4 linked regions of the Tamandua tetradactyla genome follow. The protein of the gene in region 3 interacts with the protein of the main gene of each other region in a pairwise test. Links are inferred from orthologs where the notes say so. Each region holds a gene or a part of one and is shown on either strand. Other genes may lie near its edges.

Region 1 (7,135 bases), on a different chromosome or scaffold from region 3:
AACGGTCTCATGTAGATAGTGGTGGCCATACTAGACAGCTTTAGACGAGGGTTCTGCAAACCCTGATGGGCCAAACCCCATTTGCTTTGGCAAATAAGGTTTTAGTGGAACACAGCCACGACCATTTGTTTACGAATTGTTATTGGCTGCCTTCCCACTGCAACAGAGACCTTATGTCCTGCAGAGCCAAAACTATTTGTCCATCTACCCTTTTAAGAAAAAAGTCAATCCCTGCTCTAGACTGTGAAGGAGACAGAACAGTGCTAGGAATAGCCTCCGCTCTCAGGTCAGAATTCACTCACGCAAAAGGCTCCTTTTGCGTGTGTGACCTTTATGACCTTCAGGACCCACCTGCCCACACAGGTGACCCAGGGCTCTGCTGGATGATACTAAAACAGCTCCACAACTGAGAGCCGACTGTGTGCCCAACACTACCTCACCTCGGAGGCAGGTGCATGGTGATGCCCACTTACAGAGGAGAAAACTGAGCTTGGAGGACAGGCAGTGACAAAGGTCCCCCAAGGTCCTGGGGTCCCCAGATCTGTTAGCCTCCAGGGCTGGGTCCTCTATGCCTACCCTGGCTCACCTGAAATGCCAGATAGTGAGAAGAAGAGGCAGCCATGGGTGCCAGGCTCAGGTCCTGCAGTGACATGTCATGCCATACCTCACAGCTGGGGCTGAGTGTCTGGTCTGATTCCCACAAGGCCCGTTCCCACCAGCCCTCCCTAGAGTGAAGACTCTCCACTGATATCCTGTGCCTGGCTGTGCTCACCATTGATCAGCTCCAGGGCCTCCTCCTTTGTCCGGGTGATCTTTTCCTGCCGCCAGGACGAGGGTCGCCGTGACTGGCTGTGCTTGACCAGCAGGTGTGAGCAGCGGACCCTGGCAGGCTCCCCCTGCCCATTTTTGCCACTGCTGTTGCCACTGGGCCGCTCCCACTGGCTGGCATTGGTGATGTGATTGAAGTAGTAGACCCGGCCTGGAGGGGAGGGAGGTGGAAGTTCAGCTGACTGGAAGTCAGGATAAGAGACTGGCCAGTGTTCAGTTGGCACATCCATGGTGTGTCTGCCATGTGGCATAGGCCCCGGGGACACTGGGGCTAATCTAACAGCACCCAGTCCCTGCCTTCAGGAAGTTAACATACTAGGTGGGGACAAACGGGCACTAAAGACGCAAAGTAGACAACTTCAGTCATCGATAACTTCAAAAAGAAAAATAACCCAGGAGGGACAGAAGAGAGCAAAACAGGAGAGTGTTTCAAGTGTACACTCAACAGCCATGCCACCACGGTTCAAATCCACCTCTGCTATTCGTTCACTGTATGAAAGTATGTATGCTCTCCCTTTCCTGGGCCTGAGTTTCCCACCTGTAAAATGGAGCTAACAGTTGCTGTTGTAGAGTTGTTGGAAGGAATGAGTGCTCATCTATAAAGTGCTTAGGACAGAGCCTGGCATGCATTAAGAATGTAAGAATTACCTCCCTTTTATAGATGGCAAAACTGAGGCCCTGCTTCCCCGTCTGTGGTAAGAGCAAGAGCGGGTAACGTTTCCTCAGTTGTTTACTCTGCTCCAAGGTCAGGGAGTGGGATGGGGGCATGGGGCGAGACAGGAACTGTACACAAAAGCTCTGCTCTCCATTGTGGCACAGTATAATCTCCTGCAGAAGAAGCAGGGACCAGCATTACCGGGGGCCATGGTCCACCCAGGGACTGAGGAGCACGTACAAGTGAAGTCTGCAAACAAGCCTGAAGGACCCAGTAGAGAAAACTGTTATCCCAGGGGCTGAGGGTTTGCCTGAGTCACATAGAAGACTCAGGCCCAGTGCTGCATAGGGCAGGGGGTCACCCTTGAGGGTGACTGTCAGGAGTGGGGGAACCCAGAGCTTGGCAAGAGCATCAGGCTGATGCCACAGGACCCAGACACAGGCAAAGGTGGGGGGGCAGGTCAAGGGCTCGGGTTCTGGGGGCAAATCCAGGTGAGTCACTGACTACAAAACCTTCTGCAATGAGATCTATCCCCCTGAACCTCACTGTTCTCATCTGAAGAGTGGGGGTGAGAGAATAAGGACATCAAACCTCATGGGTGAATGTGTGGAGAGAGAGTCAATGAAGATGCATGCAAAGTGCTGTTCCTCTGAGCTCTGGAGATAGCTGCTGGGCTCCTATGAAGTTTGCAGTGACATGATTTTGGGGAGGGCCCCGGGAGTCAGGTTTAATTTTTTTATCAAAAAACTAAGATTCTTCGATATATATAATCCAGTTTACTGGATTTAATCCAGTCACTACCCCCTAAACTGAATGACCACGGGCAAGAGTTCCTTAAGCTTTCTGGCCTCAGTGTCCTGCCCTGCAAAATGGGGGCAATAACCGTCAAGTTCCCAGAGTTGGGGAGATTCTGCCTGGTGCAGAGATGAACGTGGCCTGATATTGGTGTCGTTATGGGGGGGGGGGGGGTCCCCACGCAGGGCCCGTGCTCAGACAGGGTTTCTGCGGTGGATATCACAGACCGTGCATTAAGTGTGGTTGGCAAGGGTGTTTCGAGGAAGCCACGCCCCGGGCATGGATTATGGGGTTACCCTCTCCAGGGATGCCCTCCGAGCCCGAAGGGATACAGGGACGTCAGGCGCATGAGGGCCGGCAGAGACAGGGCCAAGGTCCGGGGGTGAGCTGCGGGCTCCCTGGCCCCTCCCCACCGCACCCCGGTCTCAGTTTCCCCCGGCTTCCTGGCTCTCGAGGCTCAGAGGCCCCACAGGGCCGTTACTCGGGGACAACGCGGAGGAACCAAGACCCCACGGGAAAGAGGCGGAAGCGCCGCGGGGCCCCAGGTGTAGCTCGAGCCCAGCTTTCGCGGGCCCGCGCGGTCCCGCCCCGGCCCCGGCCGCCCCCGACTCCCGCGGCACCTGAGCTGCGGCTCATGCGCTTCTCCCAGCCAGGCGGCAGCTTCTCCTCATCCGCCATCTTCCCTTCTTCCGCAGCGCCCGTTCCGCCTCCGCCGCGCCGCCGCCCGCACCCGCCCACTGCCGCCGCCGATTGGCTCGACGCGCCCCGCCCCGGGCCTGGAGACAACGCTTATTGGCCACCCCCGCCGTCGGCCCTCGCTGCCAGGCTTTTTATTGGGCAGAAGAGAGAGAAGGCGGCCCCACCCCTGCCTTCCCTAAGGCCCCGCCCCCGACCGGCCTCACCCCCGCCCCGCCCCGTCCCTCTGATTGGTGGGTCATGATGCGGGCCCGCCTTTCTCCACGCTCTTTGGCGAGCTTCAGAGTCCAGATCGCGGCGTCGCTGCCTCGCCGCCCAGCCGGGCAACCCGGAGCCTGGTGCTTGGCCACCGAGGCGGCCCTTCCCACCCTCCCAAGCCGTCCCCAGAGGTCCGCAGGCCCCCCTGGTTGCTATCCTCGGGGAAGTGTTTGCCGGGTGTGGGGGTAACGGCAGCCGACAAGGTTCTTGGGAAAGGCGGTGTTGCCTTTGCTGTTGCCATAGCAACGCAGTCGCCTTGGTGACGAGTAGCTGGGAGCCCAAAACCTAAATTAGGCTCCTCCATTCTCCCTTTTCCCACCTGTTTCCAACCAGAAGTCCAAAGCCAACCCGCCCTCCTTTATTTTTGGCCAGGCTAAACCCCTGTCTGTGCTACTGATTCCTGACACCGTCCCCTTCCTCTGGGACCTGCTCCCATCACTTATTCCCTCTCAACCTCGCTCCTTCCTCCGTCCTGGGGGGTGGGGGGTGGGGGGCGGCGCGGGTGGGAACCGGGGAGGACGATGAGCTTGGTTTGAGCCAATTTTAAGTTGGGTTTGCGGTGCCCGTGGGGCACTGGGAAGGTGGATGAGGACTCAGGACTGGAGCACTGCAGGGTGGAGATGATATGGGAGTCAAAGACACCCACCGGGAGAGTTCAATTATAGTTCATCTAAAGCGTGGGTTTCTGTTGAAAAGAATGAGGCAGAGGGAAAGCAGGTCCAGGACAAATTCGAGGCAGGATGGGGGCGGTACCTTGCTATGACCTTGAGCAAATCACTTAACCTCTGTGCTTGGGCTTCCCATCTGCAAAATGGAGACCAAAAAATATACGTATATATACTCACCAGTTCGATGTGAAGAGTAAATGGATTAATTCAGATAAAGCACTGAAAACAGTGCCTGGCCCATAGCAATGGTATGAAAATGTCAGTATTGTATGCTGGGTGAAAAAAAGCAAGTCATGGCTCAGCAGAGCAATTATAATGTGCACGAAAGCAAAACAAAACAAAAACATTAATAAAGAATACTGTGGTAGGTTGAATTGCACCCCAGTTTGGACATGTTCTTGTCTCAGTCCACTTTCTAATGGGTTTGGACCCATTGTAAATAGGATCTTGAAGATGACACTTCAGTTAAGGTGTAGCCCAACTGAATCAGTGTATTGGTTTGCTAAAGTTGCCAGCATGCAATACACCAGAAATGGAATGCCTTTTAAAAAGGGAATTTATTGTTACAAAGCTTACAGTTCTAAAGCCAGAAAAATGTCCAAACTAAAGGCATCCAGAGAAAGATACCTTGACTCAAGAAAGCCTGTCACATGGGAAGGCACATGGCTGGCGTCTGCTGGTCCTTGTTCCTGATTCCGTTGCATCCAGCTTCTGATTCGAGTGGTTTCCTCTCTAAGTGTCTTCACTTAATTCCTCCAGGACACAACTCTGGGTTCTGATTAGCTTGGCACCTCATGGGAAGGTACATAGCCACTATATGCTGTCAGCCCTCCAAGAATCTCCAGGTGTCTGCATCTCTGTCAGCTCTCAGCTTCCTCCAAAATGTCTCCTCTTTTAAAGGACTCCATAAACGAATCAACACCCACCTTGAATGGGCGGAACCACATCTTCTAACCAAAAGGCCACACCCATAATTGGGCAGGCCACATCTTCATGGGAGTACTCTAATCAAAAAGGTCATACCCACAATTGAGTGGGTCAATCTCCATGGAAACAATCTAATCAAAGGTTCCCACCCTGCAATACTGAATCATGATTAAAGGACGTGGTTTTTCTGGAGTAGGCTACACTTTCAAAACAACTCAATCTGGTTGAGTTTTAATCCACATTACTGGAGTCCTGTATAAACAGAATGAAATTCAGATATAGAAGGAAAAAGCTATTGGAAGTGAGAAGCTGGAAGTCAAGGGAACCCAGAGGAGATAGAAGAGGTGCCATGCACATTGCCATGGGGTGGAAAAGCCAAGACAGCCAGTCAGCCAGAAGATACTGACCCTGGGAGCAAACAAGCTTTCTAGGCTTTGAGAGTTTGAGCCAATAAACTCCTGTTAAGCCAACCCATTGTACGGTATTTGTTTTAACAGCTGGGAAACTAAAATGGGTACCAATTAAAAGACTGAGATAGATTGCATATGGAAAGACGTCAAAAATATAAAGTGAAAAAGCAATCTGCAAACAGTATAAACATACATACTTATCTCAACTGTGTAAAAACTATAGATTTGAATCAGAAAATTTTGGAATTTGTTCAAACGTGTTAATGATTTGGTGATGAGAGTGAATAAAGATATTAAACTCAATTTTTAATATACTATTTGGATTTTTTTTTGGTATGCTGTATGGTGGGGTCACATTTCATTATTTTTTCCATGTATCCCATTATTGCAGCACGATTTGTTGAATTTTTGTTTATTTTTGGGAAGTGCATGGACCAGGAATTGAACCCGGCTCTTCTGCATGGCAGGTGAGACTTCTACCACTGAACTACCCTTGCACCCCCTGGGTCTTTTTTCACAAGCATGAATTAGCATCAATTTTTAAGAAAGAACTTTTATTTTTGAGATAATTCTAGACTTAGAGCAGAGGTACAAATGCAGTACAGTGTTCCCCTAACCCTTCACCCAGCTTTCTCTTATGATACCATCTTACACAGAAATAGGGCAGTGCCTCCAACTGGGTATGACTTTGCTCTCCAGGGGACTTTTGGTAATGTCTTAAGACATTTTTGGTTCTCACAAATGGTGGTGGAGGCAGGGGAAGAACACTACTGGTATCAAGTGGGTAGAGGCCAAGGGTGCTGCAAAACATCCTACAATGCACAGCCTCCACAACAAAGAAGTATCCAGCCAAAACGTCAACAGCGGCAAGGTTGGGATATCTTGGCCTAAAACAGTCATCAAAACTAAGAAATCAACATTGGTGCAATGCTATTAACTAAACCACAGGCTCTTCCCTTGTCTCTCATGACCTTGACACTTTTAAAGGATAGAATTCCCTCATTCTGATGTGTTGTCATGATGCGTTAGTCCATTTCTCATGATTAGCCAAGGTTATGCATATTGCGGATACCACAGAATCCATGTGACCTTCTCAGTGCATATTATCAGGTGATAGATGATGCTGAAATTTATTACTGATTATAGTACAGTATCTAATGCTGCAAACAAATGATCCCACTTCTTAGTGGATTATCATTTATTATCTGTTTTCTCTGGGTTAGGAATCTGGGCACAGCTTAGCTGTGTTGGCATGGACAGTTGCGGGCTCATCAAAAGGTTTGACTGTGGCAGGACCTGCTTCCAAGCTGGTCCATATGGTTGTTGGCAGGATTCAGCTCTTCAGAGGATGCTGGACTGAGTGTTAAGGTTCCTTGCTGGCTGTTGGCTGGGGGCCTTTCCATAAAGCAGCTTACCATATGGCAGCCAGCTTTTATCAATGACCAAGCAAAAAAGCAAGAGTGAGCAAGCAAGATGGAGACTGCAGTTTCTTTGCAACCTACTGTCAGAAGTAACATCCCATCTTTTTTGTCATACTCTATTCATTAGAAACCAGATGCAGACCACATCGAAGACAGGATTACACAAGGGTTAGAATATCAGGATGTGGGCCATCTCAGAGACTGCTTACCACACTGATGATATTAACTTTGATCACTTGATTAAAGTGGTATCTATACTTACTATTTTCCTCTTTTGTAATGAACAAGCATTTTGAGAGTCATACTTTGAGACTATGCAAACCTCCTACTTCTGCTTAAATTTTGTCACTCACTTCAGCATCTACCAGTGGATCTTGCCTGCAGCAATTACCCCTGTGGTGCTCCAGTGGGATCTCTTAATTTTACCTTTCCATCTATATTATTTGGAAACTTTCTGAAAGGGAGAGTTGTCCTTTC
Region 2 (7,707 bases), on a different chromosome or scaffold from region 3:
AAGAATGGATGGAGGGTGTATGGTTGATTCAGTGGTAGAATGCTCACCTTTCATATGCGAGACCCGAGTTCGATTCCTGGACAACGTATCCCCCCTCCCCCCAAAAGGAAAAAGAGTAGATGAAAAACACAATTGCATACTTCAGGAACCCTTAAGTTCAAAAGTCTTTGGAATAGAAGGAAAAGACATGTATTTCCATGACTAGACAAAAGACTTAGGTAACAATAACTTGATTTTAAAAGGCTGTGGGCTATAAGACTATTTCTTTTAAGATATACAGTCATTAACTTAAAACTTGGTGTATCTCATTGGGGTTACCAGAAAGAATCCAGGTAAAAATCTCTGGGTGATAAGGAACTTCAATGAACTGGAATAGTAATTATATTCTTTGGTGGGTAAATATCTTTTAACCCTGGAAAGATTTAGAATTTAGAATGAAGAATAAAACTGATTTAAGAAAATCAAAATCGTAGTGGGGAAAGCTTCATTGAGAAGAGGATTTCTGAGTAAAGTCCTAAGGAAGAGAGGTGTGTGTGTGTGAGAGAGAAAAAGGGGGGGGGGGGGGAGCGTCCTGTGGCTATCTGCAGGAAGTGAGTTCCAGACAGATGGAACAGCCAATGCAAAGACAGGTTGGAGGAACCTCAGCGAGGGATGGTGAAAGCAGGGGAAGATGAAGTCAGAAAGGGAGGGCGCATTGTGGGGGTGGAACGTGTGAGACCAACTGTAGGGCCTTGTAGACTACTGAGAGGGCTTTTAATCTGCGTGAAACTGGGAGCCACTCACAGTTTTGAACAGAGAAGTGACAAAAATTTCCCTCAAAGGCATCAAAAAATTGTCAAATCCTTCAAGTATTATAAACATACCATGATGCCACTGAGTTAAGTGTATTAGATAGAAATTGTTTTATCTAGAAAATAAGATTTAAATGATATAGGATGAATCAGGTATCACAAAATTTTTACCGGGCCCAAGCTATTACACACAGCAACTCTGGTGATGGAAGGGCTACGGGTTAAGGAGTGCTTGCAGGCGTCTTTGTTAGGTGGGAAGTTTAAATGGCCAGCTCCTTGGATGGTGCACCCATACGTGGCCCCCTGCTGACGTTTTACAGCAGCTGACTCCTCACACGTGCCCACCTGAGGAGGAATCTCAGGAAAGACGAGATCTGATCCCTGCTTACCAGTGAAGGGCTCTGACTCAGGGGGCCAGAGAAGCCCATTCCTTTGCTGAGGATTCTATACTGATGAAGATGTTAAGATGTGACCAACTCGCCCTTCTAGAAGGCTGGGCTGGCAGTGCCGGCGGAGGGAAAGCAGAGGTGGGGAACAGAAGGCAGGGCCCTTTGGAAAGTTGCCCTCATTCGCCTCCTGGCCTAGGAGTGAAACTGGGCGCGTAAAGCATCTGGAAAATGGAATAACCATCAGCATGACTGGGAGACTGAAATTAAGTGAAACAATTCGATTTATTCTGCAAAACCAGGAAAGAGGTGATACTGACGTGTTTGGTTCTAAGCCTGCTAAGTACTGACGTGCGTAGTTAAAAGCCCGCTGTGATTCCGCCGCTTCCACACCGTCTTGGAAAGATGTGGACTCTGGCTATTGGCAGGATCAATGCGAGCATTTGCTGAAGAAGGGGCCAAACCGCTGACCAATTTACAAAAAGGACCTAAGTAGAAGATGTGTATGTATGATTCCGTCATAAAACAAATACTTATAAGCTCAGCATTTGTTAGGTACAGTAAGTCTGCCTTCGGTTCTAAGCCCAGATCTGTCGCAACATGTCACAAAACCAGAGGATGGTGGATGTTAGGAGAAACTCGGGCTGCAGCCTGGGAGCCACCCTCTGGAGTCAGTGCCCGAGGCCGCGCGGGGAGAAGCCCTGAACCCCCGCCCCACCCGCACCCGCGCCCGCGCCCCGCGCCACCCCATTGGGCGGGCTGCCCGCCACTCAGCCGCATAGCCTGTGCCCGGCTGGCCGCCAACCCTCGGGGAGTCGGCGGCGCCCGACGGCTCCAGACACGCCCGGCACGGTCCCCGCACCGCTTCCTCGCCGCCGCCAGGAGGCTCCGCGCGCCTTCCCGCCTTTCCCCGCGCCGCGGCCCGGCGGGGCGGCGAGGCGGGCGCCGCGCTCGGCGGGGGCGGCAGGGCGCGGACGGCGACGGCGCGGCCATTGTCCCGCAGCCCCTCCCGGGCGCGCAGGCGGGGCTGCCTGCCGGGCACAGAGACCCGGCCGGGCGCGGGCCGGGGTGGTCACGGTAGCTGGTGCGCCCCGGCGCCGCCCGTCTCTCCCCGCGGACCGCCCGGGCGCCGCCCTGAGGCTGTGTCCTCCGCCCCCATCTTTCCGCGTCCCCTTTGTGACCGTCACCAGCCCCTCAGAGCCGGTGGCGGCCCCCGCTTCGCCCGGGGCTGCAAATGGCGCCCGCTCGCCTCTGCGCCTCTAGCCTCCCGCCGCTTTTCTGGCAGGGAACGTCTGAGGGCGGCGTGCCCTGGGCCCGCATCCCACCGCCGGGGCGGTCAGAGCCCGCCGGGCCGGCGGCGCCTCCGCCCGCAGCTAGGCTCGCGGGCCCGGCCGGGACAGCCCCGACGCCCCGCCCGCCCTCCGCCCGCGCCGCGCGCAGCCACTTACCGCGGGGCCGTGGCGCACCGGCGGGTCGCGCTCGCGGGCCGATGGAGGATTCCTGGTTCTCGGCAGGGGTAATACCCCCTTTCGAAGCCGTTCCTTTGCGCCCTAAAACAAGTAGCCCCAACGTGAGAGAAACAAAAGGTATTTGCTGACGTGGGCGTTGGACAGAAACGCCCGAGGGCTGGGGACACAATTAAAGGGGCAACGCACAGATTTCAGGCACCAACCAGCAGCTTCGCCCACTCCCCCTGTCCTTGCCTACACCCCGCTGCACCCTCCAGAGGCACTGGGGCGCCCAGATTCCCTAGCAGTTGACTGCGGAATCATTATATAGTCAGGAGCTTAAATTTAAAATTGTAGTTTACGTTGGGAAAGGCGCCTCCGGAGGGCAGAAGGGCTGGATTTCTAGGATCTGGGGAATTTGGTTTAGGAAAGAGGGAGGGACTTAGGCGTGCCCACAATTACTGTATAAGTACATGTGACATTATTGTACTTAAGTTTAGCAACGTCAAAAATAAAAGCTTTTCACAGAATTTTCTTTATTAGAGCAGTTATTTTACTCGGAGATAACCTTTTCTAAACCTCTATAGGTCACAAGTATTTCATTTAAAGAGGAAAAACCAGACAGGCTGAAATAAGAGAACATAATTCTTAGTTAAGTTCAGAGAAAATATACAATTAGTAAAGATAGCATGTCTTTTGTTTTCAAATACATTCATTGCCCATCAAACCCGACAAATTTATGTCTCTAATGTTTAGGGTATAGGCATCAGGATATACATTTGCTAAAATAGTAATTCACTTAATTTTCATGTAACTGTAGAAGCATTAGTTTTAGAAACTAAATTAGTTGTCTAGTCCTTTTATTGGGGTCAAGTACTGAAAAGAACTGTATTATAGTAAAAGTGAAAAAAAAAAGACCCAATTTCAAAACACATTTAGCTTTTGAATGGGTTCTTTTCTACGTTATAATCAATCATGTTGGACAAAGTTTATTACTTTGGTTTTATCAGTAATTAGCTATGTATTTTGAAGATCATACCCTTTGCAGAAAGGATGAAAAATATTCAACTATCTCTTAATGTCCCTACTGTATTGTTCCAGAGGTGTGTTGCTATTTAGTTTTAGAAAAGTGAAAACGTTTGAAAACCATCAGATATCAGGCTCTGCAAGCACTCATATTGAGAAATCTCCCAGAAATACCTGGACATTGTCATAACAGAAGGTTTCATTTTAGCCTCAGTTAATTAAAACATGGGACAGAGTTATACCAATATGTTTCTCAAAAGAGCACATAAGATCAGTGACAAACTTGATTATAAAGAGAAGTAATGGGAGCTTATCATTCCACTGGTTAAGGGAGAAGTGAGAAGAAAGAGCTGTGAAGCTAGTCTCCCTGAAAGTGAAACTGGAAGATCCAGTAGGTCCAAGGGAGCTCAGGGCATCAGATTTTTTTCCTTCACCTTCACCCTCCCAGCTGCAGGAGTTCATGCTTCTCTTTGCTGGTGCTCCACCATTAACCAACACATATTCTCTTATGCTTTTCATTTCTTTTTCCTTTCTGTCTTTGGTTCTGGGTTGTGTATGTGTATCTTCAGTGCTAATTCTTGAGGGAGATAACTCATTCCAATATTAACCTATTTATTTAGCACCTACGATGGGTAAATGTTCTGTGAATGCAATGGTGAGCAAAAGATAGACCTGGTCCCTGCCTTCATGGGACTTGCAGTCTAGTGGGGAAAACAGATGGCCACATACACGTATCATTCAAAACTTTGATAAATCATGAAGGAAAGACATCTGGAAAGATTCATAGGTCTTCCATATGAGTATATGGAAGACATGGGGACTTCTGTGGAGCAGTAAGGTTTAGGGCGGCTTCCTTGAAGAAGTGATTTAGATGAGAAATCTGAAGTAGGAATTAATAGACAAAGGTGGGATTAGTAGGGAGCATTCCAGATAGAAGGAATAAAATGTAAAAAGGTGCTTGGTAGAAAGGAGCATGATATAAAAAGCACATGAGGCTGGAGTGCAGAGTGAGAGTGGTGAGAGATGAGGTGGAAGAGGTAAGCAGGTACCAGTCCATGCAGGGTTTTGTAAGCCATGTTAAGAATTATGGAAGTTCCTGATGTTCGTTAAGCTGAGTGGGGAATGTGTGACATGATGAGAAAAGCCTTTTGAAAAATGGCTGTGGCTATAGTGGGGAGAATAGATTTAGAGGAAGGGAAGAGTAGATTGCAGTGGTCCAGCTAAGAAAAGATGGATCTGGACCTAGAGAAGTGGAAGAGGTATAAATATTAGAAATAATAAGTCAGCTATGGGAACTAAAGGAGAAGGAAGCATTGAAAACAACTCCCAGCCCTTCGACTTGTGCTATTGGATCAATGGTGGCCCCATTCACTGTGAGAGAAAAGACTAGAAGAGGATCAAGGTTGTGTGTGTGTGTGTGGTAGAGTAGGAAGACAACAGTGATTATAAATTCATCTTGAACATGTTGAGGTTGAGATGTCTTTGAGACAGTCGGTTGGAGATTCAGATCGGACATCCACATTCTTTTTGTATGCATGGCCTCTGAATCTGATTCATATGTTTGGAGGATTCCCTACTTCATGGATAATTGATGTGAAGTAGAATCTGGAAATGCAAGAGACATGCTTTCCCAGAATCTCTTGCAGCTAGAACAATGATCCATGGTCTATGCTTTGATAATCAGATCCACCCTCCAGGGGTTTTGAAGAGGGAGCTGTGATGCCAACAAGTAAGGACCTCAAAAAATTCTCTCTGACAGTGGTGGCAGTTGCATCAAAATAACATCTCCAGGGGCTATGATGGCCGCACCACTGGTAGCAACATCTGCTGTCCAGTTCTAGCGTTATTGGTTCTGCGAGCTGCTGTGTCTGTTTGCTGAGAGCAGTTGTGGTATCTTTACCAGGCCAATTCTGTGTTGTGACTTTGGCTATTGTTTATGGCTGCTTAGCATAGCCTCCAGTGCTTGGGCTGTGGCTTTTCCTGTCATACTGTGGCCTTTTAAAAATGAACTTTATTTTTAGAGCCGACAAATTTACAGACAAATTGCACAGAAATTACAGAGTTCCCATACACTCAATGATCTTTTTTTTTTCTTTTTTGCTCAAAAATTTTTTATTAGAGAATTTGTCAATAAATGGAAAAATAATGCAGAAAGTAATTCAGTAGTTGCCATATATGCCCCCCTCACACACACAGAATCCCTATTATTCACACTTTGCATTAGTGTGGTACCTTTGTTACAATTAATGAAACAATATTATTAAACTATTAACTATAGTCCATTGTTTACATTACAGGGTCACTGTTTGTGTTGTACAGTTCTATGGCTTTTAAACATTTTTTTATTCTATAATTACATACAACCTAAATTTTCCCCTTTTAAGCAATTCAATTATATCATTCACTGGTGTTAATTACATTCTCAGAGTTGTGCTATCATCACCATCATCCATTACCAAAACCTTTCCATAATGCTAAATAGAAACACCGTACCAATTAAGCAATAACTCCCTATTCTCTCCCTCCATCCTGGCCCCGGGAACCTGTATTCTAGTTTTGATACTGTGAATTTGTTTATCCTAATTATTTCATATCAATGAGCTCTTAAAATATTTGTTCTCTTATTTCTGGCTTATTTCACACAACATGATGTTTTTAAGTTTCATCCATGTTGTCACATGTATTAGAACAACATTCCTTTTTATGGCTTTTTATATACTCCATTGTATGTATATACCATACTTTGTCTACGCGTTCATCTGTTGATGGACTCTCTTGTGTTTTAGTTTCCTAGGCTGTTTAAAGCAATTAAATGGCTTGGCTTAAACAGTGGGAATTTATTCGCAGATGGCTGAAGCTAGGAAAATGTCCAAATCAGGGCAGTGCTTTCTTCCTGAAGACTGGCTGCCAGTGATCCTTGACTCCTCTGCCACATGACAAGACACATGGTGGCATCTGCTGGTCTCCCTCTTCTTTTCCAGGTTTCATTGATTTCAGCTTCTTGCTTCCCTGGCTTTTCCTCTGTCTGTACTCATTCCGTTAATAAAGAACTCCAGTAATACAATTAAGTACCATCCTAAAGTAAATGGGGCACACTTTAACTGAAGCACCTTCATCAAAAGATCCTTCTTACAGTGAGTTTACACCCACTAGAATAGATTAGATTTAAGAACTTGTTTTTCTTGGGTACATACTAATTCAAACCACCACATTTTGATTGCTTTCACTTTTTGGCTATAGTAAATAATACTGCTATGAACATCCATGTGCAACATCCCTGTTTTCAACTCTTTTTGTTATATACCTAAAAATGGAATTTCCTGGTGATATGGTAATTCTATATTTAACTTCCTAAGGAACTGCCAAACTGTCTTCCAAAGCAGCGGCATGATTTTACATTCCTAACTACAATGAATGAGTGTTCATACTTCTCAACATCCTCTCCAACACTTGTTATTTTCCAGTTTTTTTAAACATTAACCATTCTAGTGGGTGTGAAATAGCATCTTATTGTGCTTTTGATTTACATTTCCATAATTGCTAATGGTTGAGAACTTTTTCATGGACTTATTGACCATTTTTTCCTTTTTTTTTTTGGAGAAATGTCTTTTCATATCTTTTGTCAATTTTAAAATTGGGTTGTTATTCTTTTTATTGTTGAGTTATAGAAGTTCTTTATAAATTCTGGGAATTAAACCCTTATTGGATATGCAGTTTCCAACTGTTTTCTCCCATTCTGTAGGTTTTCTTTTTACTTTCATGAGGAAGTCCTTTGATGCACAAAACTTTTTAATTTTGATGAATTTCCATTTGCCTATTTTTTTCTTTTGTTGCTTATGCTTTGGCTTTAAGGTCTGTCACAGTCAGGTTCATATGTGAACTTGGCCAAGTTGGTGGTACCTGTTTGTCTGGTTGGTCAAGTGCTGGCCAGTCTGTAGTGACAAAGACATTTCATAGAATTAAATCATGATCATGTCAGCTGCATCCACAGCTGATTCCATTTGTAATCAGCCAAGTGGAGTGTCTTCTGCAATGAGTCATGCTTAATATAATCAC
Region 3 (7,466 bases):
GTCCCTCCCTTGCCTCTTCCATCCTTGGTTTGTCTTTTTTCTGCAGCGTCTCCCCCTCCAAACTGCCCCTGACTGTAGCAAGCTCTGTCAGTCTAAAATACCATTCTCCCCTGTGACGCCTCGGCTCAAGAACTTGCCTTGCCTCCCTCCTGTTGCAGTTCACCACAGCTCTGTCAGAATGAGAGCTGGAAAAGGGCAGGAATGCCCCCACAACCTAACTTCCTGTCGTTCCTCAAGACCTCCATCCTCAGCTCCAGGTCACCTCACATTTCAAGTCCATTACCACCTCTAAGCCTTTGCTTTGGCAGGTTGCCTTGCCTATAATTCCTAAAGCCCATCTACTTTTGAGGTCCTAGCAACTGGCATCCTGTCACCTCACCTCAAAGCACTGTCACTTCATGTCCCTCCTGCACACTGCACTTTACAGTTTACAAAACGTATACACATCCATGGCATCACTGAACACATTAATGGAGATTAATGAATGTGCCCATCCCAGATGCCACATCTGTCTTCCACCCAGAGAACCCTGTGGGCCAGGAAGGAGAAGAGGCCTTCGTCCACACACAGGGCCTCCTGGGCTGGCCATCTCTAGCAGACCCAGTGGCAGGGGCTCAACAGCTCAAGAGCTGTGGATTCATGGGCCAAAGGACCATCATGATGAGAGCTGCTGACAGGAGACGAAGGCAATCACAGTTAGAGCAGTCAGGGAAGGCTTCTGGCAAGAGGAAGGGTTGGGAGACTCAGCATGAGTGGAGCCAGAAGGACAAGCCAGAAAGTAGAACAGGGTGAGCCAGGGTAGCACCTAAGAAAGGCAGGGAGGGTGGCTTCTGAGGTCCGGAGCATGTTCAGTTAAGCCTTGGCAGCAGTGGGGAGTCAGGGAAAGTGGGTGACCTGGGGAGGTGGGAGCCAGAGGAATGTTTATGGGGTTGACTATGGGGTGTGGAGGTGGGCCTGCTGTGGGTAGGGTCTCCTGGCTCTCCCCCTGCACTGGTTGGCTGACTCTCTCCACTCAGCATCTGAGGGTGACACAGCTGACCCATCTTCACCCTTGCTAGGCCTCACCTGGCAGAAGGCCAGGTCTCCTCTCCCCTCCTGCTGATTAATAGGCACCAGCTGATGTGAGGGGGCCAAGGAGAGGGGCAGTGGACTGCCTCAGGTTCCAGGTGGAGCCGAGGGAGCCCCTGGGAGGCTGATCCTTTCATCGGGAAAGCTCAGCTTGTCAGACCCTGCATTCCAGGGCAGCCTCTGGTGGAGGGGGGAAAGGTCCGTGGAAATCATGGAGGACCATGTCTTGTTACATGGAGGAAGGAACGTGGCCCAGAGAGGAGCCGAAGGGAAGGCTGGAGAGCTTGAGCTTCTGATTGGCCCTGTGGCCTTTTGTGGATTAGCTACTTCATTCAGTTTTCAGGATGATGGTATGGAAGCCCCAGCCTACTCAAGATGGCCCCTTGACAGCCTCCCTTGGAGGGTTGGTGGACATCTCCACATTAACAAGCCAAAGCCCAACTCCATAACTCCTTTACTGTCTCTTCAAGCTTCTCTTCCCACAGTCTGTCCCAACTCAAGGGCAACTCCATTCTTCAAGTTGTTTAAGCCCCGACCCTCAGTGTCCTTCACCTATCCGTCTCTCCCCCTCTCTGCCCGCACACCCGGCCAGCAGCATATCTTGTCGGCTCTACCTTCAAACTGAATCTAGAGTCTGACCGCTTGTCACCATCGCCACTTCAACCGCCCCGTACAAGACACTCGCCTCTGGATTGTGTTCCCTGTCTCCTTTCTTGCCGTGCCTCCACCCACCACCCCACTCCAACCCCTCAGCAGCCAGGGTGGTCCTCCTGTGCTCAGAGTCCTGCAGTGGCCCCCCTTTCACTTGGAGCCTTTGTTCGGCCCTCTGGAACTGACCTCCTCTTGGTCCTCCCGGGCTCACTGTGCTCCAGGCCCCCTGACCTCCTGGCCATTTCTCAGAACACAGCAAACTCTCTCCCGCCTCTGAGCTTTTGCCCTTCTGTTCCCTCTGCCCCAGTAAGCTTTTCCCCCAAATGTCCATCTTGGAAGCTTGCTCCTTCACTTCCTGAAGGTTTCTGCTCTCTATCAGGACCTCCTGGTGGAGGCAGTGGCCCTCGCCTAATGGCAAGCAGCAGGGGTTGGGGGGGCTTCCCTTCCTCTGACTGAGCAGGGTGCCCCTCCCCCTCCCTCCAGACCCCAACAGGACTGTCACCATTTGCAGAGGTGTTAATGAGAGCTGCCCCTCCCCCTCTCCTCTATTTTCCTACCAGGCAAGGGTGGGGGTGGGAGAGGCCAGTGCTTATAGGGAGCTCCAGTTGGTGGAGGGGAGATGGAGGGGCTGTGGGACAGCCCGGGCACTGCTCCCTCCCTTCCCTCGAGGGTCAGACTGCTTCCTTTCCAAGGTCCGTACTCACTATGCCCCCCCCCCCCCCCCCCCCCCCCCCCCCCCCCCCCGCCACAGCCAACTCCACCCCCCCAGCAGGTGTGGGCCCCTGACTAGCTTGGGAGGGGACAGGGAGGTGGATTTTAGCCTTGCTGTGCCTCCACCCCCCTGTCCTCTTCTCTCTGAGCCTCATTTTTCCGCCTGGCCAAGGGGAATATCTGGAATGGTTTCTGATTCAGTCTTCTGGGTCCCTGGCTGATCAGAGGTTCCTGCAGTAAAGCCCGGAGAGGTGACTGATGCGCCACCCACCCCCAGATTCCCAGGAGCCGCCTGGGACGGCAGTCCCAACTCCTTGTTGTAGAGAGCACAGGGCCTGTCATTCGCCCCCTAAACTCACTGAAGTGAGGGCCCAAGAACATGTATTTTGACCTTTGGGAAAGGTTATATCTCAAAATGCCAAGCTCAGACCAGGAATTGGGTCCTTTCCTCTTACCGCCTCTGTGCCTCCCCCTGGGACAGTCTTCTGGGAAATAAAGCTTGCAGAGGGTTTGGAGAGAATATTCATGCTTCACTTCTGGGCATGAGGCCAGCTGCCAGGCTGGCGCCTCCCGGTGAGGCCAGCAGGCAGGTGCCCACTGGGCAGGCTGGGCCCGAGGCCAGGGAGGTTGGGGCCAAGTGTGAGGCCCAGACTAGGGGCAGGGCTGTGGGCCGGAACTTTTCTGCCCGTCCCTCTTTCCTTCCCACATCTGAAAGGGAATCTGCAGGTTTCCCTCAGAGAGAGACATGCTTGCATCAGGACCAATGGTTCCTCCCCCACCCCCCACCCCCTGCAGGGCTGCACTGGGGGAATGTGTCAGAGGGTGGGGGGTGCACATTCTGGGGAGTGAACTGTGGGTGATGGTGAAGAACCCCCATGTCTCAGGTACCACAGATCCATCGGTGGGGGTATAATGAGCTCTGGGAGAGAACTCACCTCTGCTGCTGCATGCCTCCTCTGGGCAAGAGCAGAGCTGGATGCTACATCTGCTTTTCAGACTTATTCTCAGTTAACCCACCAGCGCCACTAGGGTGGAGAAAGTAGTAGTCCACCTCTCTAGGCCGGTTTACCTGCCTAGAGCCACACAGCCAGTGGATGGCAGAGCCAGAAATGAGTCCTGAAGACTGCTGGGGTCCAAAGCACAGCACTCTCCACCACTCCACCAGGACCTGGCCCGTGGGCTGGCTGAGAAGGTGCTATTTCCAACACCTTAACCCTCGAGGCTGGCTGCCTTGCCCTCAGTAAACCAGATTAGCCAGCAGATGTCTGGGGGTAACTGGGACTGTCTATTATTGAAGGCATTTTTGGATTGGGAGCACTGGGGGAGCTGGGGGAGGACAGGACCAGCAACGGAGGAGTTAATGGCCCATTAGACTCAACTCCCATGGTCAGGGCCTAAAATTGGCTCTGGTGGGGATGGAAGAAGACAAACTCCTCCATCCCCCAGATCCTTTTTCCCTCACGACCCTTCTCCTCCCAGCAATCTGGAAGACCAAGAGAGGCAAAGAAGCTCAGTTCCACCCTCCAGAAGAGCCCTGTGTCTGAAAGCCACCCCGCTGGAGAAGCTCCACTGCAGGCCAGAGAAAGGGCCAAGTTTGATGAAAAGAGCCCTCAAAATGGGGTCTTTTTCTGTTTTGTTGATAATGGCCATTCTGGTGGGTGTGAGATGAAAAAAAAAAAAAGGGGTCTAAAGCAGATGGCAGAATAATGAGCCTGGGGTCTCCTGGGAGATTTTGGAGAGTGATGATGAGCCATCTCAGTGGGCTCTCTGGGCCCATGTGCCCTCAGCAACAAGAGGGTACAAGCCCCTCTCCAGGTTGTGTGTGGGTGCAATAACTCAGGCCAAACTGCACTTTTCTCTGGGTCACGGGAACCTCGGCCTGGGGCAGAAACAACCAGGTAGGGGTAGTTAGTTGACATCACCTGTGAGCACACCCTATTTCAGATCCCATGCAGCCCAGGAGGACAGGATACCTAAACTGCAAGAGCCACAGAGACCACCTCACCCCACTCCACCTTTCATAGCTGCAAAACCAGCGGTTCAGAGAAGGGAGGTCTTGTCATGATATAGGAGGAAACAAAAACAAGGGACTTTGAAGGAGAGGTGAGTTCACGCAGGGGTGTGTCCCATGCCCCCAGGCCTCACCTTTTTCTTTTTCCGTCCCATCCTCTTGGGGCCAGGAGTGTTTGGCCTTGTTTAACAATCTTGGGTACTGGTACCTGGGACTGATGGGTGACCAGGCATTAGTCGTGTCCAGACAGCTGGCCCAGGCACCACGGGGGCCTATGGGGGTGACGGACAGTACAGAGCATCAGTGGTGCGCCAGTGGTGCCATACACTGGCTTTGGGGGTGGGGGGTAAGGACAGGTGGGGTAGGGTGGGGCCTAGGTCTTTCTCAGCAGCAAGAGGGCTAATAGGTACAGATGCCGAGGGGGGTCTGGGCCATAGCTGGCTGGGCGGGGATTGGAAGCCAGGCAATTGACTCCTGGTGCTCCCAAGGTGAAGGCAGGAGTGGCTCTCTCTCTGCCCGGAACCCAGAAAAGTAGTGAGCTTTTCCACTGCACGGGGTCACCTGGGCAACACTGTGTGATGTCACAGGCAGGACGAAGCCACACCCATCCCTGTCCAGTGGAGGGGGCTGGGATCAGAGGCCCATTTCCTGACTCTCAGAGCTGCATCCTTGCTACTGTCTGGCACCTGGTCCTCAGACTTCCTGCTCTTGGAATGGCCAGGCAACCAAGATTCCCCAACCACCCTATGTGCCAAGCCCCGCGCATGTCACACTACAGGAAAGGAGGGGACTGAGGCACTGCCATCAGTTTGGCAGGAAAACAGCTATATCTATAAAAGAATCTGCAGCCATCCTGACCTCTTGGGTGCTTCGTTTAAAACAATAATAAACACAAAAGTTAAGAGAACAGTTTCCTCTTGAGGTGGGAGGATGGGGGAGAGAATGGGAAGAGAACCCATAAACATACGTTATCTATGATGTTCTGTTACTTAGATTGGTGGGTCACCTATTGGGTGTTGATTACGTTATTGAAAATAAATTATTAAAGAATTAAAGAAGGCCGAATATGGGTCAACAATGGCACTGGATTGCAAATCAAAGGTTATGGTTATAGGGTGCATGGATGGGTCACTGGTAGAATGATTGACTGCCATGACCCAGGCTTGATTCCTGGCCCATGCACCCCTGCCCACCACCCCGAAAAAAGAAAAGATTATGGTTGATCCAATTCTGAGCTCCATAAAAAATTGTTACAAGGATAACTTCTTTTTCTGTGTGAGGCGCAGCGCTAAGTGCTTTTAAGTGCAGCAAGATGTCAGAATAGGGAGTGAGTAGCCCCTGACCTGGCGTGGTGGCTGCTCATGGGAAGGTGGGGTTTGGACTTGGCCTTGATGGATGATCAGGAATCCTGGGCTAGAGTTTGGAAGTATTTGGGAGACCCCTGTTGTCTACTTGCCTCATTCTGCCAGCTGTTTTAGATCCCATATTGAGGGCACTTTCCATTTTCCTTGGTTTGTGACCCACGGACAGGCCCACCACGGTGGCAGGAGGCAGGAGACGAGCTTTGATGAGGCTTCCCAGCTTCTCCCTTCACCTCTACTCCAGAGAAGGAGGCAGAGAAGATGTGGTTCTTCCCAATTTAGAGACAGAAAAAAATTGAGGCCCCATGTTTGATTAGAACTGAAAAGACTGGCTGTGGTCACACAGACAGGTGGGGATGGGAGCCAGGAGTCTCGCTTCCAGTTTTCTGCCCCTCCTGGCCTGCCAAGGGTGGTGCCCCTCGGGCTCTGGGGCCACGAACCTCCCTCGGCAATGGATGGGCTGGTCCCGCTCTCTCCTGGACCAGCACTGTCACAACATGGAGCTTGTGCCGAGCAGGATGCAGCTGCCGGTTCCAGCTCCCTGCAGTGCCTCTGCCCTCCCTCCCTGGCCTGCTTCATCCAGGAGGCAGCAAGTTCAATGGGTGGGCAGCCAGCACTGACCCTGTCCCTGTTCAGGAGTCCACAGCAGGATGGGAGAGGCTAGCAAGGTGCCTAAGGAGTAAGCTTTAAGGAAGCACTCACTTGCAGGGCTGTATGAATGCTCCCAGGCAGGGCACGCCCCTTTGAAGTTCATGCTCTGCCCACCTGGCTCCCCCCACTGTAGTCCCAGCCCTGCCCCGCATCTCCTCCCCTCCAGCCCTCATCCAGCCACCCTTCCTAGGGCTGCCCCTGGGCACAAGCCTTTCACTCAGCTTCCTTGAGCTTTCTGCAGGTACAGCCCCCAGCCCTGTGGCCTTCCTGCCTGGGAAGAAGATAATGAATGCAGTTGGGTGCTGGTTCTATGCCAGCTGGCTCCAGAGCACCAGAGGGCCCTTGCACGTTCAACAGTCACCAGAAGGGGGCCCCTTCCACCATCTCCTGGGGCAAAGGACCCCAGGGACACCAGCTCCTGGGCCCACCCCAACCTTCCACCCAGAACTACTTCCTTTCCTCCCACCATCAGTGAGAGGTCCTTCAACCTGGGGGCTGGGGGTGGGCTTTCTACTTAGCGACAAGACTGATAGAAGCTACTTCACATTTCTATCTGCCCTTCCTCCCCCCACCCCCACCCCAGGGAAATGAGCCTCCTCTGCTCCCCAGATGTCCAGAGGAAACTTCTGCCCCTGCCCAGTGGGCAGCCCCAAGCTTTAATGACTCAGAGTGAGTCCAGTGTGAGGAGGGGAAGCAGGTAATGATTAATCTCACAGCTAATAGGTTACCCTACTCCCCCGAGGCTGAGACCACATGCCGCAGTGCAGAAAGAAGAGAAAGTGCTGGAAGCAGCGTTATTGGAGGGTCCGGGGGTTAAACACAGCCATTAGGAAGCCCACAGCTCTGGGAGGGGCAAGCCGCTGGCTGGAGCCCTGTTTGGGGGGAAGGCGAGGTCCCCCGAGCCAGGCTTCCTTGGCTGGCCTGGCACTGGGCTTGCCAGGCAGCAAGAAGGGTCAGGGCAGGTGGCTCATGGCTGTCCACGCAGCCTCTTGCCCAGCTTCTGGGGAGGCAGC
Region 4 (7,803 bases), on a different chromosome or scaffold from region 3:
CTAAAACCCAGTTCACACTCTGCAGATGGAGAGAGTAAAGGACTATATAAGGACACTTCATGAGATTATCTCCTTTTAGAACGAGGAAAGGTGAAACCCAAGCCAATTAAAAAAGAAAAAGGAAATCAAGCCCTTAAATAGTTGTAATAATTTACAGGCTTGACTTGCTTTACTATTCTTTGCCTCTACAGATCATACATAAAGACTTCCATTCTCCCTCTGGAAAAATAACTACTATGCCCAGCATTTTTATGTACATACATTTTATGTACATCTGTAATCAGAATGCAGCTCTTCTCATTCCACGGGCCTTGATCTTACTTGGGGCTTTCAAAACACTCACAGAACCTCCACCACACTGAATGCCCCGGTGCTGACACTGCCAACCAACTGTGAAAGAGGAGAATTTGCACTTAGCTGGTGCAAAACTGCCTGAAATTAAAATGAATTGCTCTTGTGACTCATAGGGAGGCGGTAAGGGGCACCGAGTGCATCCTAAAAGATATCTCCAAGCTCACAAAGTCTGGCTGCCCTTCTGTCTAAATGTTGGGTTTGCCTGAGCCTGGGCAAGTCTCCATCTGGAATATGGAGATGCTAATGGTAATGACTCCAGTTGGCTTTGGGTAAGTATGCAGTGAAGCATCTATCAGGATAGTGGTCCGCAGTAGAAATATTAAGCAAAGGAGCTATCACGATGGCCTGAAATGAAATAGTAAACACAGGATAAGATACTGGCTCCATCTGTTAGAGTTTATGATAACATCATGCTGTCCATGGAGGACGTTCCAAGCAAAAGACTGAGTAGGATTCACCTTCAAATTAATGTTTTATGTTTTCCTAGAGCCTATCCTGAATATTACACCTGAAAAATCACTTCTGCCTGGATTTCTGGGCATAATTTATCAACCTTTTCTGGGAAAGAGGGGGAAAAATGTGCTGGCACCATTTCCTCAACTAGCTTGTCCGTCTTCAGTTAGTACCTGTCTTCACTGGAAAATAGTGAAGAATGGAATAGTTAGTGCCCTTCAGTTAGGTGCTTGATGTATTTTATGAGGCTAGGATGCTTCAATTTTCTAACCTCAGTGAAAAAGGAAAATTTTGAAAAGACTAAACTTCCTTAGGGAAAGTGAAACCTCCAGATTTGTCTTCTAATAAAAGGATTAGTGACTAAGTTTTGGCTGGTCGAAAGGGCATTAGCTACCAATTCATCCAGTTCACTCTCTTTATTACTATGGTCTTGCCCAGTCTCTGGACTAAATTGTAATTCTAAGTTTGTTAAAAAAAAAAAAAAAAAGTGAACAAACCACCCTTTAAACTCATTGTTTGCACAGATACATACATTTAAGTAAAGGAATGTTATTTTTCTCTTGAGAATTAGTCCAAGGAAGCTGGGGGTTTGTTAACACAAACCCGGCTCCTTACAGAACTGGTGTCTTAACCTTTAAGATTGAATAGTGATGTTTATATTCTCGCTGGATTGTGGCACTTCCTGAGTTTTATGAGAACATGCTGAGCTTTCATGTCAGTAACTGAGGGTAAAACCCAGGTAAATAAACACCACCAAGGGCTGAAATTGGTGGGGTGGCGGGAGACTTCTAACAAGAAAGCACAATTCTTTAAAACAAGAAAAGAAAAAACCAAAACAAACGCCTCTTAAGAGCACAAATGGACAAGTCATTAACCAGCTGCTTTGGTCTGTGTAACAAATCCCTTCAAAGGATTAGATGGGGACTTCAAAGGAATAAAAATTCTCAAAACCAGACAGTTAATGAATCTTAAAAGGGCATTTACGTTGACGGGAAAATGAGATCTTAAACAACCCTTTCTCCCCATGTTATCACCAAAGAATGGGTTGGGGGTGTAAATTGGAAATAGGGGAACATTCCAAGTCAGTAGGAGGCTCAGAAAACAGACGCGGCAGATGCTCTTGGGAGTCCTGGTTCCCCGACTCTAAAGCCTTTGGAGACCATGAAAAACCCACGAGACTCCCCGCCCTAGAAAAATTCACCTATACACAAAATGGTGCGCTGCCCTTCGAGATAGAGAAACCCCATCAGCGGACCCCAAGAAACATGAACTCTGATTAACTCCGGATTTATCGGCTCTAGAAGTGTCTGGAGGCCAGAGTAGGCTCGGAAGTGGACGCTGGGACCCCGTAGGCGGCGAGGCACCCGCGCGGCCCGGGGTCGCTCCACCTGCGGGCTGGGAAGGGGGCCGTGGGGGGTGCGGGAGGCCTCCACTCGGAACGTCCCCCTTTCCAAGACCAACTGGACAAAGAGAAAGCGGGCCGGGGCGGGGGGAGGCGAAAGGAGCAGAATCCAGCCCTGCACTCTCGCCTGACCTGCACCTACGCGCCTCCGAGCTCCCCCGGTGCCCGCTCCGGTGCAAACTTTCTGGCCCGCGGAGGGCTCGCGGAACGTCCCAGGCAGCCGAGAGGGGCCCGCGGGGTGCAGGGCCAGAACCCCTTTCCCGCACTATCCCCCGCCAGCCCGAGAGCAAGGCGGAGGGCGCCAAGGGCACGCCGCGGGCGCGCACCTGAAGCCCCTCGCGGGGTGGTGGTGCTGGTGGGGGGTAGCCGTGCCACCCCACTAACCACGGGGCGCGAGGCCGTGGAGAGCGTGGGTGAAAGCGACAGGGGTGCCACACTCACTCAGACGGGTCCAGGCTCTTCCTCTCGATGGCCGAGGACATTGGGGAGGGAGGCGGCGTGCCGGACGGGGGAGGCGCTCCCTTTGTGGTGCGGGGCTGGCCGGCTGCCAGGGCTCGGACCCCCTCGGGTGCTCGGGCGCCGCCGCTGCCGCCGCTCTTGCGCCTCCGCTTGCTCGGGAGCTCCGGCGGCGAGCTCGGCCCTCCGCGCTCAAGGACAGTCACCGCGCTCCCTTCAAACGCCAAAGAGAGAGAGCGAATCACCGGGCTGCGGGCGCGCCGCGGCCGAGACCGGGGCCGGGACGCGCAGCCTGGCCCGGGGCATCTGCAGCAGCTGCTGCCGCTCAGGACTTAACCTTCCATCCCGGTCCCGCCGCCACCGCCACCGCCCGGTCCCGTTCGCGCGCCGTCGCCGGATCCGCGCCGCCGGGCCGCCCCGCGCCCCTCGCACCTTCCGCCCGGGTCGCAGCGCGCAGCTCGCCGCGGAGGGCAGGGAGGGGGCGGCGGGCGGGGAGGGGCCCGTGCGTCGCGCCCCTGGGCTCCCTCCTCGCCGGGAAAGGTCTATTTTCGCTCAGCTTCCCTCTGTCTCTGGTTTCATTTCCTTTTTCCTGATCACGATTCAAATACAATAGAAGGAAATCACATTTAAAGAGACAGCTGCCCGGCCATCCTCCCCCCCCTTCCCCCTCCCCCCCTTTTTAAACGGGGCTCCTGGGGATTAGCAATACAAACAGCGGCCGCGCAGGACGGACTTCGCTTCTTAAAGGGGCCAGCGTCAGGGACCGGGTGAGTCGCTCGGTCAACACCCCCTCTTTGGAGAGGAGGCTGGGCTGCCTCTAAATCCTTTAAGACTCCCCCTCCTCCGCGTTGCCCTTTCAGTTCAACTAAGGCTGAAAGTAACCAGCGGGCAGGTCGAGGAAGAAAGAAAAGACAAGGAGGTGAAAGAAGCACCTACAGAAACGCAAGCGTTCGGAGTGGCTTCCTCGCCCTTCCGGGCTTCGAGGTCCCCCGACGCTCCGCGCGAGGATGCCCGGGACAGCGCGGCTCGGCTGGCTGCTAGCTGGTGGCTGCGTCCGCACTCCACGAAGGCAGCTCGGGCCGAGCGGGCTGGGCACTGCCGGAGCTGTGCCAGGGGCAGCTAATCCCAGAGGAAAATCGGAGGGGAGGGATCACTCGGGTCGGGGTCTCGTCTCCATCTGCCGGCTGACGGAATTCCCTCCCTCAGCATCCTTGAGAAAGTGCACGGAGGCGGACCCCTGCGGTTCGACTGCGCACCCCACCCCCTGCCCCCATGAAATACCAGTAAATACCCTGCACAGCCCACTGCTTTCCCCATGATCAAGAGCAATAGGGAGGTCGTTTTGTCCTGGGCCAGGGAAAGGGAAAGAAGCCAGACCTGATGTCAAACCTCGAGAGCAACATCTTGGAAGAGTGAGGAATGCAGAGGAAGGAGAGAGGAAGAAGCTAATTGAGTCTGCCCTCCGGTAGAGACCAACTTCAGTTCCCTGAGCCTCAAACTTGGAAATGTCTGCCTTCAGAAATGATGATTAAAGGCCTGTTTCTGCCTGATGCCAGTTATAAGTCTTGCAAAAATGAAACCACCGAGAATTTTCAGAATCCATAGTTTTCTAGGCTCCCTCTGAATCATGGTCATAAGCATTTTATTCCCACCTTAAAAGTTGGCATTAAAGCGTCCTGAATAGGTTTCCCCCAATGGTGGAGGCTGAAATCAGAAGTGACTCCTTGGTCACTTCATTTTCCCTGGTCAGAGCCAAATCTTCACTGACTTCACAAGTATAACCAGAATTTACTGTTGTCTAGCATCGATCACTCTTGTCATTTTTCTCATCTTCAGGTCCCAAGGCTTGAGTCTCTGATGAGTATAATTAAAATCTCTGTGTATGTGTGCTAAAGGAAGTCCAAGGCCAAGACCTTCGGTACATAGGAGGACATTTTCCTGATCAGACCTTTGTTTTTAATTTAAGAAAGAAAACCCCTAAAATGTTTAGGCAGGCCTAAAGTATGTGATAAATACATAACCTATGACTCTACAACCAGAAATCAAAATGAACATGCAGGTTGCAATAAGTGGTTTACCTGGTTTAATCAGTCCATGTGGTTAAATATGAGGACTTTGGAATTGGGCTGCCTGGATTTGATTTAGGCTCTCACTTGTCAGTGTGGTCTACGAAAGTTACTTAATTTGAGAAGGCAGTATTTTGTAGTGGCCAAGAGTACAAAATCTGGAGCCAGAGTGCCAGTGTTTTACCCCTCCTCTTCTCAGCTGTGTTAACCTGGGCTAACACAGGATTTTAACCTCCCAGTAGCCTCATCTGTAAAATGGGAATAATAGAACCTATTGCTTGGGATGTTATGAAGATTAAATGAGGTAACACATGCAAGCATGGTATTTAGACTTGACAACAGGGTGAGAGTTATAATAGGACCTCCTCATAGAAGTTTGCAAAGATTAAATGAGCTATGAGCTTATATGCATGGAAAGCACCTAGCACGTAGTAAGAGCTCATAAATGGCAACTGCTATGTTATAATGAAATGCTTCATTGAGAGAATTATAAAAGAGCTTGAAATTTAATTGGAAAATGGGGCTTTAAAATAAGACTCTCCCAGCTAAATTCAAAAGTATTCTCTACATTGAAAAGGTAAACAGACCTAGGGTGCTTACACCTCACCCCTACTGCTCGTAAACAAAACACGTAAGCTTTTTCCATTTTCATGTTCATTATCCTGGTGACTAGATGATATGTTTGCATCTGCTTGCTTTGATTAAATCTGATAAGTTGCTACCTCCTTTCAAACCAGTTGTTAAAATAAATCTATCCTTGGATTCCAGGAGGTAATCTCAGAATGGCTAACTTTTTGGCATAAAATTTCCTTTTAGTAATATGCTTCTGCATTGACCTGAGTGTATAAAAAAAGAGAGATTATTGCATATGATTCTGGGTCACTTTCTTATCTTTCACAACTCTTTGGGGAGAACTTCCTTACAGAAGGTGAATGTTTGAAATGGTATCTTAAGATTTCAATTTCACACACAGTGGTTGTAAGAAATAACTGCCTACCGGTGGGATTTCATTTCTATTCAACGGACAATTAAGTCGCTCACGTTTAAGTTTAACATTTAGAATCAAGTCTCAAAAATGTGTTTTTATTCTGAATAATTTTTAAGCAAGGATGACCTTAATGCTACACATCTTCCTGTAGCAACCGACACAGGCTTTGTACAGCAGAGAAACTCAGTAACTGGGAAGCACTGTGGACATGTGAAATGGTTCTTGAGTGCTGGGGAAATCTGAACTTGATCCCTCCCCGGTTGGATTGAAATTTAATTCCTTCTCCTACTCCCCAACTGCTTGCAAATCTTAAATACCCTAAAATTGAGAAATTTCTACGTTTTCTTACAGAATATGAATGTCAGAAGACTGAAGCTGTCTGCATGATGAATTTGCCTCCCGCCAGCATTTTCTGTTCTTTTGATTATAACAGTTACAATTATTTTCTAGAGAAGAGCATTTTCAAGTGATGAAGGCTACATCCCTTGTAGCCTTCCCTTTATAATCCCTTTGCTAAAATGAACTTCTAATAGAAATGAAAATGTAAATATCATTGGGAAACTGCCAAGAATGACAATTTACCTCTTTTTCTCCCCCAACAATTAGAAGCCAAGTTGTAACATATGCCAGTTTGTTGTGACATTCACATTTAGGAACAAAAATAAAGATCTATCTCAATATGACTTTAGCTCCCTTTCAAAATTCTTCTAAATTATTCAGTTGTCACAGGTATCTAGCTCTCAATCATTTCAGAAGGGTTCAGGGACAGTTGATAGGACGTGATTTCACAGAATTTTAGACCTATTAGTAACCTTAGTGATAAATTAGCCAAGTTTCCTGTACATTACAGAAGAGCCCTAAATAAATCTTAAAAAAAAAATTCTTACCAGCTGAATCTTAGGAGAATGAGCATAGGAGTCAGACAGGTATAGCTCGGTTATTTACTAGCTGTGTGATTTTGAGAAGTTATTTCACCTCTCTGAACTTCAGTTTCTCTGTCAAATGGAGGTAGTAATAATGTCCAGCAGGTCCGGTACTAGGGTGAGGTCACAGGGGTACCTGCTCACCTCTCCAGAATTTTGAGATGATTCAATACAATAAAGTGTGTTAAAATGCTTTGCACAGTAAATGCTCAGAAATGATTGCTCATGTTATTACCCTGTCTTTCAGAAGTAATCAGCCCGGTATCGAAAAGCAGCAATTTCCTAGCCAATTGAGATATCCTCCAAAGAATGCTGAGATGGAGGTGCTACAGAAAAATCAGAAGCCTTCTTAAAGCATCAGCAGCTCTCTGGCTGGGGAGCCCACCTCTCCCAGCCAGAAATAAAGGGCTGTGCCCATTTAGGCCCTGGGCAGGCTTCTGGCTAATCTGCTGCTACTTTAACCTGCTCCCCTTGCCACACCGCCTGCTTTTGCCACATCCCTGATTTTATCCGTCTTATTTTCTACCTCTAACAACATTGTTTACAGAGCCACCTTTTACAACTAAGAAATGAGGCAAAATTAAGTGCTGAAGTGACTGTCTCAACATTTCACAATTTCGTAGGGAGATATTAACAGAGTCCCATGTAATTTTCCAGCTTGCTCCTTGGAGTCCCTACGGTTCTAAGACACTTCCCTAGCTGGTTTTGCCCACCCCTGCTCCACCTACTGCACCTCCACCCTTGTTGACCTTGACCGTGGGCATGCTGCTCAACCTCTCTGCCTTCAGCTTCCACATCTATAAAATGGGCGTATTCAGAATACCTTTCTCATAGAGCTGTTTAAAGGATTCTGTGATATATAAACATCTAATGCACTTGGAAAGGTGACTGGTGCAAAGTAAACTCCTGTAGAAGATTTTGCTTATTAAAGATATGCCAGCTTTAAAATGTTTGAAAAACCATTGATACATCATATCCTTTGATGAACAAAGTAAACGAGAGACATAAAGCCAACAGCCTCTTCTACTTCTGCCACATCAAACTCACTCCTGCCCTTCTGTTTTAGATCTTGGACCCTGAGCTTATTTGCTGCTCCAAATTCAAGAGGGAGTCAGAGCTGGGTGAGCTGGGCTCACGGAACAAACTTTGTGCTCTTTGCTT

What was found.
Region 1: the proteins of CCDC33 (region 3) and PIN1 interact in a two-hybrid assay, tested with the Homo sapiens proteins (2 studies listed by BioGRID). The two-hybrid records come from large-scale screens. The link is inferred for Tamandua tetradactyla from reciprocal best matches to the Homo sapiens genes CCDC33 and PIN1.
Region 2: the proteins of CCDC33 (region 3) and ZBTB8A interact in a two-hybrid assay, tested with the Homo sapiens proteins (2 studies listed by BioGRID and IntAct). The two-hybrid records come from large-scale screens. The link is inferred for Tamandua tetradactyla from reciprocal best matches to the Homo sapiens genes CCDC33 and ZBTB8A.
Region 4: the proteins of CCDC33 (region 3) and LMO2 interact in a two-hybrid assay, tested with the Homo sapiens proteins (2 studies listed by BioGRID). The two-hybrid records come from large-scale screens. The link is inferred for Tamandua tetradactyla from reciprocal best matches to the Homo sapiens genes CCDC33 and LMO2.

What each region holds. Positions count from the first base shown.
Region 1 is NC_135337.1:91,911,442-91,918,576, forward strand, and holds the start of PIN1 (peptidyl-prolyl cis-trans isomerase NIMA-interacting 1), read right to left. Parts: upstream 3,007-7,135; 5' UTR 2,957-3,006; coding exon 2,899-2,956; intron 980-2,898; coding exon 773-979; intron 1-772. UniProt on the Homo sapiens protein: Peptidyl-prolyl cis/trans isomerase (PPIase) that binds to and isomerizes specific phosphorylated Ser/Thr-Pro (pSer/Thr-Pro) motifs.
Region 2 is NC_135328.1:193,360,879-193,368,585, forward strand, and holds the start of ZBTB8A (zinc finger and BTB domain-containing protein 8A), read right to left. Parts: upstream 3,018-7,707; 5' UTR 2,626-3,017; intron 1-2,625. UniProt on the Homo sapiens protein: May be involved in transcriptional regulation.
Region 3 is NC_135338.1:67,862,175-67,869,640, forward strand, and holds the start of CCDC33 (coiled-coil domain-containing protein 33), read right to left. Parts: upstream 3,001-7,466; 5' UTR 2,958-3,000; coding exon 2,886-2,957; intron 1-2,885.
Region 4 is NC_135334.1:110,238,871-110,246,673, forward strand, and holds the start of LMO2 (rhombotin-2), read right to left. Parts: upstream 3,017-7,803; 5' UTR 3,010-3,016; coding exon 3,003-3,009; intron 2,880-3,002; coding exon 2,651-2,879; intron 1-2,650. UniProt on the Homo sapiens protein: Acts with TAL1/SCL to regulate red blood cell development. Also acts with LDB1 to maintain erythroid precursors in an immature state.